Linked DNA regions of Notamacropus eugenii. The protein of the gene in region 2 purifies or fractionates together with the protein of the main gene of each other region. This does not show direct contact. Links are inferred from orthologs where the notes say so. Each region holds a gene or a part of one and is shown on either strand. Other genes may lie near its edges. The genes, in order: SIN3A and KLF11.

Evidence for each region.
Region 1: the proteins of KLF11 (region 2) and SIN3A purify together in Homo sapiens (affinity purification with western blotting, with the first as the bait; 3 studies listed by BioGRID). This does not show direct contact. The link is inferred for Notamacropus eugenii from reciprocal best matches to the Homo sapiens genes KLF11 and SIN3A.

The regions. Positions count from the first base shown.
Region 1 is NC_092872.1:240,366,218-240,376,335, forward strand, and holds the start of SIN3A (paired amphipathic helix protein Sin3a), read left to right. Parts: upstream 1-5,516; 5' UTR 5,517-5,566; intron 5,567-8,893; exon of another isoform or gene 8,894-9,205; intron 9,206-10,118. UniProt on the Homo sapiens protein: Acts as a transcriptional repressor. Corepressor for REST. Interacts with MXI1 to repress MYC responsive genes and antagonize MYC oncogenic activities. Also interacts with MXD1-MAX heterodimers to repress transcription by tethering SIN3A to DNA.
Region 2 is NC_092872.1:548,763,333-548,773,593, forward strand, and holds the start of KLF11 (Krueppel-like factor 11), read right to left. Parts: upstream 4,016-10,261; 5' UTR 3,803-4,015; coding exon 3,761-3,802; intron 1-3,760. UniProt on the Homo sapiens protein: Transcription factor. Activates the epsilon- and gamma-globin gene promoters and, to a much lower degree, the beta-globin gene and represses promoters containing SP1-like binding inhibiting cell growth.

The DNA.
Region 1 (10,118 bases), about 310 Mb from region 2:
TGTCCCACCTTATGTCTCACTGCTACTTTAAACTCCATGGGTGCCAAACTGAAGAGATTTCTACCCTCCACCTCCCTGGTTTTCTCCTCCTGCCCTCACAGTATCTGTCAAGTACATCACTCAGTTGGGTCATGGAGGTTGAAAATCTTCCATGTTTGATTCAATTTTCTCTTTTGTTCCCTTTATCTAATATGACACCCAGTACTCGGATTCAGTTTTCTTTCACAATATCTTTCATATCAATCCATTCCTTTTCATTCTCACTATCAGTCCTTTCATTCATACTCATAGAATCAGAGAACTGGAAAAGACCTTAGAAGTCACCCAGTCCCAGTTCTTTATTTTACAGATAAAGGAATGAAGGGCTATAGAGAGATGAGCCAAGTTGTACAAGGTCATCTAGGAAGAAACAAAGCCAGGATTAGAACCCAGCTTGTATGACTAACATCTTGCTTCTTATACTTCTCACTTCTGGCCTAGATTATTAGAATACACTGACTTCCTTCTTCTAATCTCTGCCTCTAATCCATCATGCATAACTCTACCAGAATAATTTTCGTAAAATACCACTTTAATTATATTACTTTCCTGTTCAGAAAACCATAATCACTTCTTGTTATTTATAGTCAAGTTAACAAGCATTTATTAAAACTTACCATGTGCCAGAGCAGCTAGGTGGTACAGTGGATAAAGCACTGGGCCTGAAATCAGGAAGACTCGTCTTCCTGAGTTTAAATCCAGTCTCAGACACTTACTAGCTGTATGACCCTGGGTAAATCACTTAACTCTGCCTTAGTTTCCTCATCTGTAAAATGAGCTGGAGAAGAAAATGGCAAACCATTCCAGCATCTTTGCCAAGAAAATCTCAAATGGGGTCACAAAGAATCAGGTATGACTGAAATGATTCAAAAACAATTATGTGCCAGGCACTATGTTAAGCTCTAGGGATATAAGTATAAGCAGAAGAAAAGCGAGTTCTTGACCTCAAGAAACTTATATTCTAATGGAGGAAGACATCATAAAATGGAGCTGAAAAGGAGAGAATGAAGAAGATGAGGGCACGTTAGAAGGCATACTATAGAGGAAGTTCACTGTAGAGAATGTCCAATCTAGAGAAGAATAAGAAACATGGGTATCCTCCCTAACAGGAAGGTTCTGAAAGGAACCAGCCAATGAGAGGGATAGACCGCAGAATAGAGGATGATTCGAGTGTGTGAAGTCCAGGGGTAGTGAGGGCTTCCAGGGTGAAGAGGTGTCTGGTAGCACTGTAAAAAAAAAGACTGGGAGAGGGTATAAGCTAAACTCTACACCCCTTTCTCTGACATTCCACACAGTCTGCTTTTTCTCCATCCTTATTTGTCATAGTAGAACTTCCTGATAGGTCCCTTTTTAATTCAGTTAGGACAGTATCATTCAATCTTCAAACAATTAGTGATTGTTTTCCTGTGCCCAGCCCTGTGTTAGCCGTTAGTGAAGGAAAGAAAGAGATAGGTAGACACAGTCCTTTTCCTCAGAGAGCTGATGATTCAAACATGGAGGCAATAAGAAAGTATGTGAAATATTTCAATATTCCAAGGACCTGTGATTGGTATGGCTGTCCCCTCCAATAAAAAGGTTGTGGTCCCTCTCTATCCTGGTAGCCATTCTTCAAGAATTGCTCAGATATGTCCTCAAAAGAATGGATTTGTAAAGTCACTGATCTGAATGTGTGTTCCTTCTACCCCATTTCTGTGTACTCATACTGGAGGGCTCCTGTTCCTGTCTGCACAGAAGTTTGTCAACCATACAGCTATAGACTCTCTTTCCTTTTTTCTGATAATCCTGAGGATGCCAGTGGAAGACTCACATGCTTCTCCTTCTCTTATCCCTTACCTTGGCCCCATAACGAGCCCATCTTTTTCTTTTGTCCATTTCTCTGATGACATCTTTTACTACTTTTTTCCTCCAAAATTCTCCATTTGTTAGATGTTGCAGCTTGTTTCTTCCCACCACATTCCTCTCCACTGACCTCTGTGGCAGGATATTTTTTTTATTTCTTCTGAGATTGTTGGGTTCCATGTCTTTAAGCCACACAATAACACCAACAGACTACAGGTACTGAAAAGATTAAATGGATTTATGTATTATTTCTAAGAGAGTTTGGAGCTTTGCAGTTTCTGGAAGGCAGTTCAACCTACTCTCCAGTCATTTAAAGTTCAACTCTTTGTCCATTTGTACCATCTGTCCATATACATACTGACAGACAAGAGCTAGGTTTCCAAACAAATACAAATCATAACCTGAGTGACTATTCCAGATAGTCTTTCATGAGTAAACACACAAACCAAACTCACTTTAGTGATGATGGAGCTCTTCTAGGAGGCTCAGCAGTGTTTTGGGGTTTGATGCAACCAGCTTATAATGTAATGTGAAAATAATATGAAGAGCTGGGATAGCTAAGAAATTCATCACCCATGGGCCAACTTGGTGATGTCTCTCTGAACTTGCTTAAGCTGGTCCACAGACAGCAGACCATCACTGGCAAGCCATTCTGCCTTAGTGGATCTGCTGGCATAGTGAGTCATCATTGACACACCCTGGTGAGGAATTGCAGGAGGACTTGAATGGAGGAGAGTGAATGAAATAATGGGCAAACTCAAGATGGGATCATTAAATGATGAATAGTTCAGAATATGCCACAGACAGCAGAGAAGTTCAGAAAGAGGGATATCAGTGAGGGCTGGAGTGATCAAAGATGATTCCAGGGAGCTATTGTATAAAGTTGTATGGCATGTTAATTTTGTCTCTTCAACCAGTTTGTGGGCTTTTTGAGAGCATATCTTACATGTCTCTGTACCTGTGTGCTCAGTAAATATTTGTTTACTAATTGAATCAGATTGGGGATGTTGAAGCCCTGCCAATATGAACTCTATGAATTAAGACACTGATTTGCTAAGCCTGTCTGTCTATTTGCTATCCCCCTCCTTTACCCTCACTCCCATGAACTCCAAGCTGCTGATTTTCTTTAAGGAAAAGAAAGCACCTGAAAGTCAAAGCAAGTGGTGATTAGATAGCTGTATTAGATGGGACAAGCCTGGGTCTGGAGGACAGCAAATCACTCCTCCCTCTTTTTTTTAGCTGGAGGACAGAGGACAAGCTCAGGCCACATTGGTCTTTTTCCTGTGATCTGGGCCCAGAGGAGCCCAGACTGGGACAAGTCTTGCTGTCTTCTACAGCTTGGCTTTAAGAGATTAAAGCCAGAAGTCCTTCCTCTTCATTCCACTTTTCCAACTGCCCCTTTGGCAAAAAGCATCCTCCACTGGAATCTCAAAGTGCTTTGGGCAGGTTGTTTAGCCCTTTTCTCAGGGTTCCGAGAAATTTTTCCTGTTGGCAGTTATATGTATACACTATCCTCAGGCCACAGGAAGGACTAGACAGCTCTTCCAGGGCCTCCAGCAGCCAGGGTGACCTTAAAAGTTCTCCTAGGATTGAAGCCCTTGCTGTTCGCTATCTGACCTCACCTCACCTAAAGGTCCACAGGGAAAGGTCCTCTCTCTCTTTTTCCCCCTCACCTAAAGCCACTACCATTCCTGCTTTAGCATTCACTTGCTCCAATTTGCCTAAATTTAAGGCAGTTTGGGGATTTCCCTTCTGGTCTCTTGGAATTTCTAATTTCCTTCACGGTTTTGCTCAGGGATCACCATCAGTAGGTAGCCTTTCATGATTCCCAAACTGGAAAAACTCTGCTCCCTCCCCCCAACTTTTGTATTTCTTCAGTATATATTTTGCATTTACTCATCTGTGTATTGTCCTGGGTTCTAAGTAGAAGATAAGCTCCCTGAGGGCTGGAACTATTTGTCTGTGTCCTCCATACCTAGCATAATGCCTGACAAATAGGGACAGGAAGAGGAGGTGGCCTTAGATTTCTTTGGGATGGGGGATCCTGAGTGAGGACATCCCTCTAGAATGCAGGTTGGCACCTTAGCTTCAATTTTCTGTCTTAGAGCAGCAGTTCTTAGCTGCAATCTGATAAGGCCTGTGGACCCCTTCTCAGAATTATGTTCTTAGTACTTGAAGGAAATTAAAATTTCAGTTAGAGGTTGGTGAAAATAAAGATGTAATTTTTCTTTCCATCCAAGTTCATGGCTCCTGTCTCCGAAATCTCCAAGTAGCTTGTGGACCCAAGACCCTGACACAGAAAGTTGCCTGTAGCACTGAAAGATTAGGTGATTTGCTCAGTCAGGGCCTTCCTGGCTTCAAGGTCAGGTCTCTACCCACCATCTCCCTCTCATTTCTTGGGACAAAGTAGGTGCTTAATAAGAACTTACTGTATTATAAAGTAGCTAGTAAACACAAGGAGGGGAGGAAAACTACCAGTGATAAAGAAAGCTTGGAATAGGACTAGAGTCCATGCACCAGGAAAGACAGACCCTTGGCTGGCCTGGCCACGCCACTGAAACCCTGGTCTTGGCCCAGTACCTGGTACACAGTAGGCACTTAATAAATGTTTATTGACTGCCTGAGGCAGGCTTGATTCTTTCTGCTTCCATTTGGTTTAAAGGTTAGGCAGAGCTCTTCATGTGAAGGGTGGTCAAGACCCTACTTTGCCTTGGGAGAGGGATGGAAAGGAGGAAAAAGAGGATAAAAGAGGATGTCTTCCTTGCTTTGTACTGGTGGCTGAGATGAAGGGTGCTGTTCTGCACTAGGCAGTACGGGAATAAAGACGAAAGTGGGCAGGGGGGCTTTGTGCTCAAGTATCTTACAGTCTAATAGGGATAAAAGAAAAGATTACAGATTTAGAGTTGGAAAGGACCCTGAACATTACCTAGTGCACGACCATCAGTTTATAGATACAGAAACTGAGGTATAGCTCTATTCACAAGTAACTCTCATATTAGTCTGTGAACTATTAGGAATCAAGGAGCCATCTTTGTATGTCTCCAGTAAACGCAATGGATGCCACTCTTGGTAGCTTCAACAACCATTAAATACCAACTGCATGCACTGGGCCACACTAGAAGGTCTAAAGTTGAAAGCAGACAGAGCCCCTGCTATTAACAGGAAGGACCAAACGAGGATCACAGATCTAGAGCTGGAGGAGCCTTTGAAGGTGGTCTCACGCTGGCCCATCACTTCACAGCCTAGGAAGGTGAGCCCCCAGATCTCTGGTAACTGGGGCACACAAGGCACAGCGTGGGTCTGACCAGTCTGAGCTTTCCGGACAGCCCGGAATGAGGATGGGCAAAGTCCTGATTGGCTCGCGGACCCCGGGACCACGGAACTGCTTGGCTCGGCAGTCCCCTGCCCAGATCGCACCGGGGCGGGGCTGCCCCCACACCGCTCCTCGCGCCCCCTCCTCTAGGAGCGCCCGGGCCCGCGTGAAGCACAGGCGGAGCGCGAAGGCGGGCGGGCCGGCGACGGCCCCCGAGAGCGAATCTGAATTTTGGAAGCGGGGGAGTGGTGCAGCGCGGGAAGGGGAGGGGAAAAGGGGAGGGAGGCGGGCTCTGGTGACGTCAACCCTGCGTGTGGCCAATCCTGTTTGGGGGGCGTTCCCACCCATTCAGGACTCCTCGCCTGGGCTTTGAGGGTATGTGAACAGCTGCTTTCCATTCAGTACCCCCCCCAATATCGGGCATTTCGGGGGTGTGGTGTCTAGGTCTAAGGGGCGCAGGGCGAGAGGAGGCTCGGCGCTGGGGGGCGGGAGGGCCGGGCCTCCCCGCCTGGACTGGCGAGGCGGGGGTGGGGGGTCGCTGGCCCCCTCAGGGGTCTCCGTCCGCCCGCCGGAGGAGGTCTGGGGGCGTCCGCCGTCCTGGGTTTGAAGGGAGCCGGCTAGGGCCGGGCGTGGTTCTCTTAGAGGATCACCGCCCCTCCGGCTGCCCGTGAACTTGACCGCGGGCTGGGGGGAGGGGGCTGCAGTGGGCGCTCGGAGAGCCCCAGACTGCTCCGGGCCGCGGACGTTCGTGGGCCCGACAGCCCGCGGGCAGGACTCCCAGCCCCTCAGCCTGCGCAGACGGACGTCCCAAGACCCGAGTCCCGGGGCCAGCCCCGGCGAGCGGGCATCCTGCTCCACGTCCGAACCCGCCGGGCCCGCGTTCGGCCCTCGAGCTCGGGGAGCGTCCCACGGGGACGGCCCGGAGAGCGGGGAGCAGCGGGGGACGGGCGCGGGGCAGCGGAGGCAGGAAAGGGGGCGGTGAAGGTCGGGAGCGAGCGAGCGGGCAGACCCGACTCCACACGCTGGGACTCGGGAAGAGGAAATGCATCAGTGCGCGGGGGGCGGAGCCTGTGAGGGAGGGGGAGGGGCGCTGTCAGCTGTGCGCCGCCGCGTCCGGCCCGCGGTGGGCGGGGCTGCCGGCCCGGCAGGCTCGGGGAGAGGGGAGGCTTCGCTTCCTCCACTCCGGGACCCGGCCTGTTTACAACCTGTTCTGGCGTTGGCTTGGGCAACCGGGGGCGCGCAGGGGGCGGGGCCGCTCATTCTCTCCTCCCTCGCCTTCCCTCCCCATTCCGGCTGCAAGACTGAACCCGCCCCCTCTTGTTTCCTATTGACTGAGAACGACTCCATTTTCCCCCCCCCCTCCTAGTTCTCTATTGGTTCTTGCTCTCCCTCCGCCAACTCCTCCTATCGCAAAGCCTGGCTCTGGTTCAAGTTGCTAGGTTTCTCCCCCTCCCCCAGCCCCGGAAGCTGGATGAGTTAAGGCTAGAGGGACTCAGCGTCGAAGTGGATTGGCTGATGGGGTGGCCCGCCTACCTGCGGGGGGAGGAGAGCGTGAGGAACAGTAGGGTGCGCCCCCTCCCCTGCCCCACACGTGGGAGGCCCGCCCCAGGCCGCCCTCCCGGAAGTCGAGGGCTGTGCACCCTCCTGGGTTTGAGCTAGGGCTAGGCCTGCTTGAGCCGGCTTGCCTGCAGATGCTCTGCAGTGCGGAGCCTCCGGCGGGGCCAAAGCGAATAGCGTCAATCCGAGCCGCGCCCTGTGGGTGTGGGAAGATGAGGGGCTTCCTCCTGGCCCCGAGCTCGGCAGTGCTGCGGGGGCTCTTTTTTCTCTGGCCCGAGAGTCCCAAGGCTGCCGCCTCCAGCCTCCGAGCGTCGGCAGGAAAGCTTGGAACCCCCGCTCGGTCTGGGCTTGATCTCGCTTCGGGCCAGCTCCCGCCTCGGCGGCCCGGATCCTCCAGGTCACCTGTTGGGAGCTCCCGGAGAGAGTTTGCGTTCCTCCCGACGCGCTCCGTGCCTTAGCAGTTGGGAACGGGCCGGGGAGGCGGGCACACCTGTTGCCATCCCACGTTTGAGAACATTCAGGCTGAAGGAGGGAGGGAGCTAGCAGAACCAGAAACCGCGGCAAGCGAGCCCAGCTCCTGGGTGTCAGGCCACACGCCACGGAAAACCACATCGTGCGAACAAAGCGCGCTGTAGTTTCCCACCGAGAATCGGTTGTTGCGGGCTTAGTGCCCATCACAAACTCGCTTACCTGCGGCACGCCCGTAGCCGAGGAGGCCACTCTGGGTGTCCCTCGCCTCCTCACCCCCGATAGAAATAAATAGGCTACGTGCAGCTCTCTGAACCCGACCTCATCCTCATGGGATTCTAATTTTGGGCAACTAAAAGGTTGTTGTATTTGGAAATAGCGGTAGTCGTGAAGAGAAAAGATCTTTGTGAACCCATTTCACTTTTATTTGCAGTGGGTTGTAGATAAGTGGATGAGGACTATAAGCGACCTTCTGCATTAGACTCCCAAATGTGAGGTTTTTCTCATTTCCCCTTTCTCTGTACCCCGAACTGGCAGCTTCAATGGACATTCCTCCGCTTGATTTTTATTTTTGGCACGAGGGCCAGGTTGTTTGCTTAGCTTGTGAGGATCAGTGCTTTCTCCCACAGTTGTTAGGGTGACAGGGGTCTGTTTAGGGTTCAGGATATTTCGCCTTTTTAATTACGTCCTTCCTGAACAGTACAATATTGGGGGTTTGGTGGGTGAAACAGAAGTCATGGGGGAGACTAAATCTTCCGTGATGCGTGCCCCTAGTCTAGATGCAACCAGTTAGCTGAGTGCAGCACTACTGGATGGTTGCATTTGTGACACTGTGGTCTTTGCTGTAGGTTGCAAGCATTTGCAAAGGAGGTGGGTGGGGTGGTGGTTAAGAGAGTAGGGGCCGTCTTAATTTTTTTTCTTACTCCTCTGTGTGCACGGATGGGGACGGAGTCCAGAAGCTGCCGCCTCTCCTCTTTAAGCAGGGATCCCCATTGCTGGCGCCACCCCTCAACTCGGGAACCCGGAATTCTCTAGGGTTCAGTCTCTAGTGTAAACATTCCACAAAAGGTCTTAGGAGGCACAGCCTCCTAGTTCAGGGGCGGAGCTAGCTGCTTCCTGGACAGGTCTTCAGCCCAATAGCCGTGCTATCCTATGACAATTCATCCAATCCCGAGGGAGGTGGGCGGGGTCTCAGGGGCGGTGGGGGTGGGCGGGGTCCGTTTCATTTACGGACATTTTACACCGCACCAGTTACCTTCCTAGGGTGGTAGAAGATCTGAGGGGGGAGGGAAGAAGAATTTCTTCCAATGAGGTAGCTAGGGGGGTGGGAGCTGAGGTAATCTTCCAATGGGGTAGTAGGAGTGGGGCGGGCTCCGTGCCTTCCTCCAATAAGTTGCAAAGAATCTCCTAGTTTTCTCCAATGACCTAGCGGTGGGTGGGCGGGAGTCAACTGGCAGCCTCCAATAGGTGGGTCTGAGTTGGGGGAGCTCCCCGCCAATAGGGGTGTGGGGAAGGTAAGTGGCTCCCCCGGCGGTGTGTGTGGGGGGGGCGTGGGGGCGGGCCTTAGGCTGGACGGGAGTAGTGATTGGTGAAGGACCTGATGAACAGTCTACGCAGCCTGTCGCTCGGTAGGACTGGGTCTCCCCTCAGCGGGGCGGGCAAGGGGAGTGGGCGGGATTTCCCGGGTAACAGAGAAGCGGCCGCGGCGGTAGCGGCAGCGGAGACGGTTTCTTCGTCTTTCCCCCCCTTCCCCTCCCCCCTCGGAGTTTCCCTCCCCGGGTCTGGCTGCGGCTGGGGAGCGGGGCCCGTGAGCGCCCCAGTCCCCGCCGGGGGACTGCCAGTCCGCTCCGGCCCCGCGCCGAGAGCCCTGCTCCGGCCTCCCCTCCCCGCCCCCTCGCTACTGCCACCGCCACCACCGCCGCCGCGCAACCCGGGAGCTCTCGCCGCCCGAGACGGGACAGACTTGTGAACGGCCGAGGCAGCTTTGAGGTGAGAGCGAGGGGCCGGCCGTCAGGCGGGCGAAAGCGCGGAGCCCGCCCTCCTTCCCTCCCTTCTCCCCGGCCCGCCTCCCTCTTTACACCCCGCTGGGCCCGGGAGAAGGAGCGGGCAGGGCTCCACTCGCTGTGCGGCTCGGGGTGAAATGTGGGGGTGGGGAAGGGACTCAAGGGGTGTGTGTACGGAGGGGGGGGCGGGTGATTGTCCCCCTGCGCTTCCCGTAGAGCAGGCGACCGGGGTGTGTATGTGTGTATGAGAGGGTGTCTCGCGCGCGCGCGCGGAGGGGGGGGGGGACGGAGGAGGTGAGGGGCGGAGCGGGGAGCTCCCTGTGCGGGAGGAGGGAGGGAGGAGGGAGCTAGCGTCGCGCCGGTGCGCGCCGAGCGGGGCGGGCCCTCGTGCCGCCGCTTCGCCGGCGGGGAGGAGCCGGGCGCGCCCGGGTGCTGTCCCGGCCGGGCCGGCCTCGCGCCAGGTGCTGTCGGCGGGGGCTCGGCCGCCCCGGGCTCGAGCTTGGGGCCCGGGGGGCGGAGCCTTGGCGGCCACGGCCCTCGGCGCGGGAGGCCCTCCCTGGGCGCGATGGGGGCTGGGTAGGCCAGTCCCGGGCGCGGTCTCGGAAGGCGGCTGGACGTAAGCCCGGGCCCTCCGCCGGGGGCCGCGCGCTGCCGCCCCTTCCAGCCTCGGCGCCCGGGGGGCGGGGCTGGCCCGAGGACGTGGCTCGGGGGACTCCTGCGGCCTGCAGAGGGGGAGCCCCGGGAGTCCCGGCAGCGCTCGCTGGTCAGGGCGTAAAAAGGACGTTCTGGGGAGAGGGGCAGCCCAGTGCGAGGCCCTGCGGGGACGGAGCTGCCCTTGATAAGGGCTACCAGCCGGAGCCCGTCCCTGCCTCTCTGGGCCCGGTTGCAGAAAGCTCCAG
Region 2 (10,261 bases):
CAGAACCCTTTGTCTATTACAAAAGGCTAAAACAGATTCCATTTCCTATTAAGTTTCTTTCCTTTTAAATCACATTTTGTAAGTGGGATTTTACTTTCTCTTTTCAAAACCATAGCTGGAAAAGAAAAAAATGCAGTTAAAAAAGAAAGGCACTCTCATCTGTGAAGCACAGTGATTTCTAGAAAATATTTTTTAAATAAAATACGTATTTTTCAGAGTAAATGACTAAAACCTCAATCACAGAAGTAAAAGCCAGAACCAGAGCATCAACTGAAACAACCATCCTCAGTGTAGAAGACTGAGTTAACCCCCTACTAATGGTGAATTTCAACACAGCACCTTCACCAATGGGTACTTACAAGGTAGGTAAGGTATTATTAGGCCCATTTTATAAACAGGGAAATTGAAAATGGGGAAAAATGTTTTAAGTAACCCAAACTCACCTTGCTAGTAAGTGGTAGGGGCAAGATTTGAACTCAGGTTTTTTTCTAAGTTTGAGTACTATACCATGTTGCCTACTCACAGAGTTAACTGAGACCCATGTCAGTTCAATGATTTATACCTAGTCATACAGCTAAGAAGTAGAGCCAAGGAAGAGTCTGGGGGACTGGAACCCAGATTTCCTACATTACAATGTCATAATTCTTCCCACTGTGCTCTCTTCCCCACCCTCCTACCTCTCAATACTTGTAAGAATCAGACGTTTGAACCTTAGAGATCCTGGAGTCAAATCTCCTCACTTTATCTCAGGAACTGAGACATCTTTCAAACAAACTCAAGAAATCAAAGTAGGCCTTTTCCTGAACACAGGCTTGTGATAACACCACTAATCAAAAATTCTGTCAGAGGTTTCTGAGGTTGAAAGGACTGAAGAGATCATCTAGCCCAAGTCCCTTCCTCCAATTTTATGAAAAAATCGTAACCCATTGAGGGGATGTGACAGATGCAGGGCAGGAATTAATAAAATCCAAGTTGTCTAACTGAAGATCCAGGGCTCTTTGCTTAAAGTATAAGTACCTACTCACAACCTCAAGCAAAGACTTCAAGACCTTGCTGCTTTCCCCAAAAGGCCCCCTTTTCCAAGCTGTACTTGTAACAGCAATAACCATGCTAACCCAGGCACTCAACAGAAATGTCAACCTAGAACCAAAGGAAAGCAATCTGTGAACAAATCCTTTCTGCCCCTGAATCACACAAGCCTCCACCAAAAACACTTTAACACTCCTTTAAATGATCTTAGCACTATGGGGTGAAGTCTATAAAACCCCAACGCATCCCCAATCCTAAATACAAATCCATATATTTCAGAACCACTATCCCGTTCTATTAGCCAAGAGGATGAAGCTAGTAAAACTAGCAATCTACTAAGAGAATCAGACAGACCCTTAGGGGACTTGCTGGGAGGGAAAGTGGAACAGGATGAAATGCCAGGTTTTCCAGAAACCCCTTATGGTATGTAAATACCTTTTGGAATCTGAGTTTTCTTAGTATCTCTGGCTATTGAGTAGCCCAGCTGTATTCAGCCTGGGAGAGGTAAAGCTAGAAAGGTAGGTGGGAATTAGACTTTGGACTTCATTTGGTGGAAGGTAACTATAGTGCCAAGACACTGTGTTAGGCACTGGGGACTTATAACAAAAATCAGTTCCTGCCCACAAACAGCTTTTATTCATATTAAGATCCCTAGACCTAAGGTCAGAAAACATGAGTTTGAGATCTCATTCCGTAGATCCTCATCCAATCCACAGCACTGAGTGGACTATGTGACCTGAGGTCTTTTTTCCAACTCTGAGATTCTACAGCTCCAAATAGCAAAACTAGAAGCAGCAAAGGATGGAAACTGTTGAGGCAGATTTTGAATAAGGAATAACTTATTAACAATGAGAGCCGGCCAAAAGAGGAATGGCTTCCTGGAAAGGCAATGAATTTCCTCCCCCTCTCCCCTTTTGGAGGGACTTAAATCAAAGGTTGGATGACTACTTCTCAACGACAGGTACTGTATTCAGATGTTGGGTTAAGAGCTCAGGTTAAGGAGACTCGAGGCCCTTGGGATTTGTGGGAAGATTTCAGGGGATCCATAAATTGGATGGGGAAAAAATTACATCTTTATTTTTACGAACCTCTAACCAACATTTAGCGTTTCTTTTCATTCTGAGTTAAAACAAAACATTAGTGCTCTAAGAAGGTGTCCATAGGTTTCACAGGGGACTATAAAAAAAAGAAAAGTTAAGAACCTCTACAGCAGAGCATCCATACTGTAAAGGTTGCGCTAGCTAGCTGCTGAAGTAAAGGCAGTTTAATACAGCATAGTATAATAAAAAGACAGATGGATTCCTAGTTAGGACCTGGTTCATTCCCCAGGTCTACTTGTTATCTGCTTTCTTCAGCGTGTCTTCCATAGGCTTCTTTCTTTCCTCACCTACAAAATAAAGGGTTGGACTAGATGACCTCCAAGATCCCCTCCAACTCTAAATCTATGATCTCTTAAATTCCTTCCGGCTATAATTTTTTGGGATTTTAAGAACTGCAGTCTTTGCTCTTCCAAAAACTAACTGAACGACCCCAGGCGAGTCATTGGGTCTCTCGGGGTCACAGTTATCCATTAGTAGAATTCGGGGGTAAGGGAACCCCACTGCCCTGCTGTAAACCCTTCACCGTCCACCTAAGACAGCCCCAAAGTTAACTTCTTTGTGCCGTGGGCCCTTTGCTAACACCCACGGACCCACTCTCAGAATGTTTTTAAAATGCATAAAACACCTCCAGGATTACAGAAGAGACAAATTCTACCGAAACAGTTTTCAAAACATTAAATACAAAGCCAAAACCAACTTCACAGACCCAAGGATAAGAGAGGGACCCCTGACCTAGCTTTTTTGGGGGGGAGCTTTTAGCCCCTCCCGGGCAAAAAGACAAACAGAGAAAGTGACCTTTCTTTCCAAGCTCATTTTTCCCGAAAGGGGAGTGGGCGTAGGTCTTCCCTCTCCCCAGTCCGGTCAAGTCCCACTGGTCTTTTCAACCTAAAAGCCCCAAAACCCAACTCCCCACCAACCTCCGGCCAGAGCCCCCGGAGTGAGGAAGTCTCGCTCTGCCCTGGAGGAGGGGCCCCTTGAACCCCACCTCCCCGGCCCCGCCCCAGACACCACCCACTCCCTACAAGGGCACGGTGACGTCATGGGTGGGCTAGGCTGGGGCCCCGTAGGCAGACCCTGCGATTCGGGGGGAGGGAAAAAATGGGAGACTGAGTCCGGCATCCAGGACCGCCCCCTCCCCGCCAGCCCGGGCCGGAAGCCCCATCTCCAATTCCGAGACCCGGCAAGGCGCGACCCCGAACCCGAAGGGGTTGTCCACACCCCTAGTCCCTCCCGAGGCCAGAGGCCTCCCCGGGCGCCCGCCCGGAGGTTGCACTGGGACGGTCAGGACTGCCAGCACGCCCTGCCCCGCCCCGGGCACCTAACGGGACTAGGCTGGCAGCGGGATCTCACCCACCCCGCACCCGCCTTCCCCGCCCGGCAAGCCCCCCACGCGCACACCCACCCAGTCCCAGGCGGAAGGGGGTGTGAGCACCGAGAGCGAATGAAAGCGGCTGCACGCGCACAGCCCCCTCCCAAAGCCAAGCCCCGGCCCGCCCGGGACGCCCCTGCGCCCAGGCTGGGGGACAGGAGGCTGAGCGAGTATCCTCCCCCCCCCCAAAAAAGCAAAAAACCCGAGCGGGTCCACGATCCCCACCAGCCAACTTGACGGCCAGCCCAGCCGGGAAACTCACCGCGAACGCATCTCCCGGGCTGGCCGTGCCGGCAGTGTGCATGGCGAGGGAGGTCGGGGAGCGGCGAAGCCGGCGCGAGCTGAGACCCTCCTGCCCGGGCGGCTGCGGCACATGTGGGAAGCGGGCGGCAGCTCTCCGAAACCCTGCACGGACTCCGGGAGAGCGGCCGGCGAGGATCCCCGGGCCGGGCGCGCGCCTCCGCCAGCCCGCCCGCCTGCCCGCCAGCGCACACGGCTCCGCCCAGGCCACGGCCCTCGACGCGCTGGGAGGGGAGGAGAAGGGGTGGGGAAGGAGGAGGGCGCGAAGAGGCCCGGGAGCGAGGGCGGGGCTCACAGGCGAACCAAAATACGGCGCGCCCCGCCGCGGAGGCTACGGGCAACGGCTGGGCCAATCGTGTGCGATCTAGTAAGCGCCGGACCAATGAGGGTGGCCGGGCGACGCGTGATCGGAGCCTGGTCCCGGCGTGATCAGGGGGCGGGGTGCGGGCACGTGTTTGTGTCGAGGAGGGATTGGGCGGGGCTGGGAGAGAAGAGTCCTGGAGAAGAGAGGGAGGCGGGAGAACCGAACCGAGGAGAGTGGGCGGGGCTTGGAGGGGAAAACCTAGGGGAGTGGAGGGGGAGGGCGGAAGAACTGAATCGCCGGGTGGAAAGTAGGGGAAAGGTCTCGGCGGCGACAGCGGCGGCGGCGGCCTGGGCGGCGGCGGCGGCGGCCGGGGATGTCCCTGCGGCGCGCAGGGGGCGGGATGGAGGCGGGGCAGCGGCGCGTATTAAAGGGGCCACGTCGGCCTGCCCCCTCTCCTTTCTGGTTGCTTTCTCCTGCTGGCCTGGGGTTCGGTTTAAGCCGTGTGGACTGCCAACGTGAGGTATTTTGGGATACATAGTATAAAAATAGACCAGTAACCTACATTCTTTGTCCTAAAGTGAAATTAACCCTGCACGTCGATGCTTCCCACAGCTCTTTCAAGACACACCGGCTGGCTATCAGTTGCATTTGTGGCGCTGACACATGAACATTTATTAAGCGCCTACTACGTACCAGGCTCTGTGCTGAGAGCCGAGATACCAATGGGCAAAACAGCCCCTGCCCTCCAGGAAGGAGCCATCTAAGGAGGCAGCCCAGAGCCAGCGTCTACAAAGTTACATGCAAGAGAAAGAGGGAGTGATGAAAAGGAGGAGGGCGATAGAAGAATTAAGAGGGGCTTGTGCAGAGGGGAGCGCCCCCCAGATCTGCCCCTGGTGATTCCTGCCATCTCCAGCCCCTTCCCCCTCTCTGATAGGTCCGCAGTCTGTGCACACGCCCCTTAGACCGAGGAGGAAACTGACGAACAGAGAGGGAAAGGGAGCCACCTGAACCGCGAGACTTGACTCGTGGTCCGAGGCTTCTTGCTTTATCATCTGAGACATCCCCCTCCACCCAAAAAGGGATTTAAATGTTCAGGGTCTAGGAGATTCAGATTTTGAGTGCCTCGTGTCTTGGCAGTTCTATCAGATCAGCAGCTCCATCCGTGCTCCCCAACAATTCATTGGCCACTTCTATTACAGGTGACTGATAATAAACATTAACCATCCTCCCCTCCACCTTAGGTACCTGTGGGAGTGATCAAAGTAGAGCCCTCACCATCACCCAAAACTAAGGCCCCTTCATGACCAGATTCTCCAGTCCTTGCAGCTTTCTGTCCTACTCTAGCAAAGATAGAGCCACATGACTAATCCCTTTAAAATTCGGAACCAGTTTTTTTCTGGATTGAATAATCTGAGATATGCAGTATGACCCTGTCTTTACAGTGAAACAAGTCCTTATCTACCTTTACTTTCCAATTCTGAACATGGTTGTCACCCCTAGTAGAAGGTAAACCTCCAGAGATCAGAGATTATTTAGGTTTCATCCTTGTATTTATTCAGAAGAAAAAGGCAGTTATTAAATGCTTCCAGAAATTGAAAGGAAAAGTGGCTGGCATAAGGTCGTTAAGATAAATTAATTAATAGAACCCTCTTTCTTCATCCAAGGATGTTTGTTGGGCTACTTTTTGGCCCCAAGAAGCAAGACAACTCCACATCTCTTCTCACCCTTTCTAGTTCAGAAGCTAAGATCAAATGAACACTTCAGCCACTGCGGAAAAGGTTTGTGCATAAGAAACCATTCACAATCTCCCCTAACTTTCCAAACCAAAATGTACCCCCTGGCTATTACTCTCCAATATGTATTTTCTCCCTCTATTCTAATGTAAATTCAATAAAGGAAGCAACTATCTAGCTTTTGATTTTATATTGCCAGCACTTAGTACAAAGATCTACATCTATTAAAGCTTAATAATTGCCTTTTTTTATTCATTCATTCTTAGATTTAAAGTTGGAAGGCTTTTGAAGGATCATTTAGTTTAACCCCCTTATTTTTAAGATAGGCCCAGTGCCTTTCACATACTACCTCTCCCCACACTCATCCCTTTCCATTTTAGCCCCATCCCTCTGGAACCCCTGTCGTCTACTTTCATCTTCCGTTGTAGCCTCTGGAACCCCCATTTTTTTGCTAACAAACATTCCTTTGCTTTGACCTCTCTCCTTCCATCTTCTGCCTCTCAGCAGAGAAACTTTGTCCTTGTAGTTTTGGTTGCTCTTTCTCTCTGGCTTCCAGGATATGTTGGGCAAGTAGGTACTAGACTTCTGCTGTGAGGTTCATTTCATTCATCTTCCTATCTCAATCCAGATCCCTGTTCCTTTCATCTACCAGGCCCCAGGTGACTCTCTCTCATTTCTCAAAGACTCTGCCTTCCTCACTAACTCTTATTACTTGTCTTCATTATTGGTGACATCAGTATCCATTAAGAGAATGCTCTGCATTCTCAGTTAATTTACCCCATCAACTCCTAAGACCTAGCCTTACCTCTACCTCTACATTTCCGCAGGATCCTTTGCCCTTCTCATTGGACTCTGACTTCAAAGGAGGGCTGTGGGTTCTAGGGCCTTGATTTAAAAAGGGGCCCAGCATAGTTTTTCTCCCCTTTGCCCCAGAGCTACATAGCTTTCAGAATTCTTGGAAACTCTCCATCCAAGCCTTCAAGCCAAGTAGCTTCTCCCACCCACTTTTCACCTTCCTTTTGTGTGTTATCTTTCCCCTTTAGACTGTAAGGGCAGAGATTGTCTTTAGTTTTGGATACAAAACCTGTGCTTACTTCAGCTCCAGGCCTATTGTAAGCACTTTATAAATGTTTCTCGACTAACCTCTCTTCTACCTGAGGTACCAAAGGAGAGATCACTGGGGAGACCTCACCATCACTCCAAACTGAGGCCCCTTCATGACCGAATTCTTCAGTCCTTCCAGCTTTCTCTCTAATCCCTTTATATATATATATATATATATATCAAGTTTCTCCCTGATTGAATTAGCTCGGATCTGCAGTATGACCCTGTCTTTACAGTTAACTCCTTATCTACCTTTACTTTACTTTCTTTACTTGTTGGTAAACTCTAGTAGTAACTTGAAAAGGCTACAAGCCAAGACCGAAGTGGAGGGAATGTTGGTGCACAATTTTGTGTTTGTAGATGATTGTGCACTCAATGTAGTCTCTGAAACTGAGATGCAACAAAGTATGGATCAATTCTCAGCTGCTTGTGCTAATTTTGACCTAATAATTAACACCAAGAAAACGCCACCACCACACCATCCATATGTAGAATTATCAGTTATAGTGAATGGAGAAGTTTTAAATGCTGTGTATATGTTCATTTACCTTGGTGGTATGCTTTCCAGGGATGTACACATTGATAATGAGGTTGACACAAGAATGGCCAGAGCTAGCTCAGTGTTTGGGAGGCTCCAAAGGAAAGTATGGGAGAGAAGAGGTATTAGACTGACTATCAAACTGAAGGTCTACAGAGTGGTTGTGCTGACTTCATTGCTGTATGCCTGTGAAACATGAACAGTCTACCAGCACCACACTAAGAAACTGAATCACTTCCATTTGAACTCTTAGGAAGTTTCTGAATATCACCTGGCAGGATAAGGCACCAGACACTGTGGTCCTTGCTTGAACTCTGCTTCAGAGAGTACAACTCTGATGGGCTGGTCACGTTGCTCAAATGCAAAATGTACACTTGCCAGAAAGACTATTTTATGGAGAACTCACACAGGGCAAGGGATCACATGATGTTCAGAAGAAGCAATACAAGGACATTCTTAAGGTCTCTCTCAAGAACTTTGAAATTGATTGTGTGAAATAGGAGACACTGGCACAGGACTGCTCAGCATGGTGTTTTCACATCAGAGAAGGTGCTTGTGCTCTATGAGCAAAGCAGAATTGAGACAGCTCAAAGGAAACATAGGATGCACAAATTTATAATAACCACCCCAAACATTCAGACTATTTGTGCCAGACCTATGGTAGATCATTCTGTGCTCGTGTTGGTCTGATCAGCCACTGTCAGACACATTGAAACTTGATTCTACCATAGAAGTTTCATCTTGGAGAATGAAGGACAACAACTAGCTATCTGCCTTTACTTACTCTTTTCTATACTTGTTATAATATAACCCCTCATAGAAGGTATGTGTCCTGAGGTCAGGGATTATTTTGTTTGTCTTTTGATCCAGAGCAGCTGGCACAGCTAGTGGCTAGCTCTGATGAAGTGAGCAGTTACTAAATGCTTCCTGAATTGAAAGGAAAAGTGACTAGATTAAGATCATAAAGTAAATTATGGACTAGAAACCAGGTCTCCTAACTTAGTCCAAGAGTCTTTCTTCAGTGTAAGGATGCTTGTGGACTACTCTTAGCACCTAGAAACATTCATTTAGGGCAGCTAAGTGGTACAGATGAGGAAAGTGACGTCGAAGATCACAACTAGGTGACATCTCAGATCTGTTCCAGCTCTAGATTTATTATTCTAAGGATGTGACCCTGGAAAGTCATACCATATTCAAAGGAAGGAGAGGCAATAGTGTATTACATACAGAATTGATAAGATATTCGTGAGGAAATTCAGGAGAACATTTGGATAAAGATCAGCCGAGGGAAAAACAGAAGCACTGGTGTCATGGAGTATGCCACACATCACCTGGACAGAAAATAAATGAGGCATTCAAAAAATAGATCACAATTGTGGTAAGGAGGCTTAACATGATGGAGGTCTTTAACTATCCAGTCATCTGCTAGATCTCCCTGTGTACCAAAAGCAGAACAGCTAATGGTCTTGGATTGCATTAAGGATAACTTCACCCTTCAAAAGACAGAAGATCTAAATCCATTCTCACCAATCACTTAAGACTGATTGCTGAAATAGAATCAATGAGAATCTTACTAGAAAGTAACCACTACATTTTAGAATTTATGACCGAAGAAGAAAATTGGCATATGATTCTGGCATATCACCTAGAGCTGGGGAGAGCAGATTTCAAAGGTTCCTAGGAAGGCTAGGTCCTATATCATAGACAAAAATTCAACAGGATACATTAATGTAAGAAGCATCATAAGAAGTTCTCAAAAATTATTATCTGAAGATGCACATAGAGGTACTTACAGTGAGTAAGAAAAAGGGACTACTGTCATATAGAGACTAATGTGGATGTTCAGGGAAATCATCAATGAACTTGGATTTATTTTTATTTTTTGCCCTCCCACAAGGAATAGACAAAATAAGACAGAAAACAACCCCCAAACAACTCAAACCCAACCCTTCACTCTGTAAACTATTAAGCAAAAAAGCATTTTTTAAAAAATGATTTCAAATGATTTTACCTAAAACTTATGTTTACCTTTTATTATTTACTGATTGATTAAAGACTGGAAGACCATGTCCATTAATTTTAATATGGTAGCACTAACATGATCCTGTTGTATTCCAGTGCAGAGTTTTGAAAGATGTGTGCAGATTCTCAAAATAAGGTAGGGGCAGGAGAGAGGCTGTAATGTCAAAGAGGGTAAAGAGGTGGGGGTGGGGGTGTTTAAAAAGTGTCCAGCATCCTAAAACTCAGAAAGAGCTGAAACTGTCAAATATTATGTGCACCAGAAACCATTTTTCTGTTTTTGTATCTTTTTAAAATATATGATAGAGAAATAAGAAGGATTGAAGAAAGGAAGGAACCATTACACTGGGTAAATGGAATAATTATGAATGATACAGAAGAGCAAGACTTCTCTAACCTGATTTTGTTTGTTTTCTTTGACAAGGAGAATGACCTTTGTGCTGACAATGGAGCTCTCCACTTCATTTTTTCTGATTTTCTTCAGAACTCCCTGTAGTCTAGCTTCCTATACCTCAATACCCTAACTGCTCTCTCCAGAGTTACCAATGATCTCTGAATTGTCAAATCTAATGGCCTTTTATCAACTCATTCTTTTTTCCTCTATGCAACCTTTATCACTAATGGTCCCTTTCATTCTTTATGTCCCCTTTTCCTTAGGTTTCCTTGTTACTACTCTATTCTGATTTTCCTCAGCTTGTCTGACCCCTCCTTCTCAGTCTTCTTTGCTACATCTTCCAGGTCATGTCTGCTAAAGGTGGTCATGAC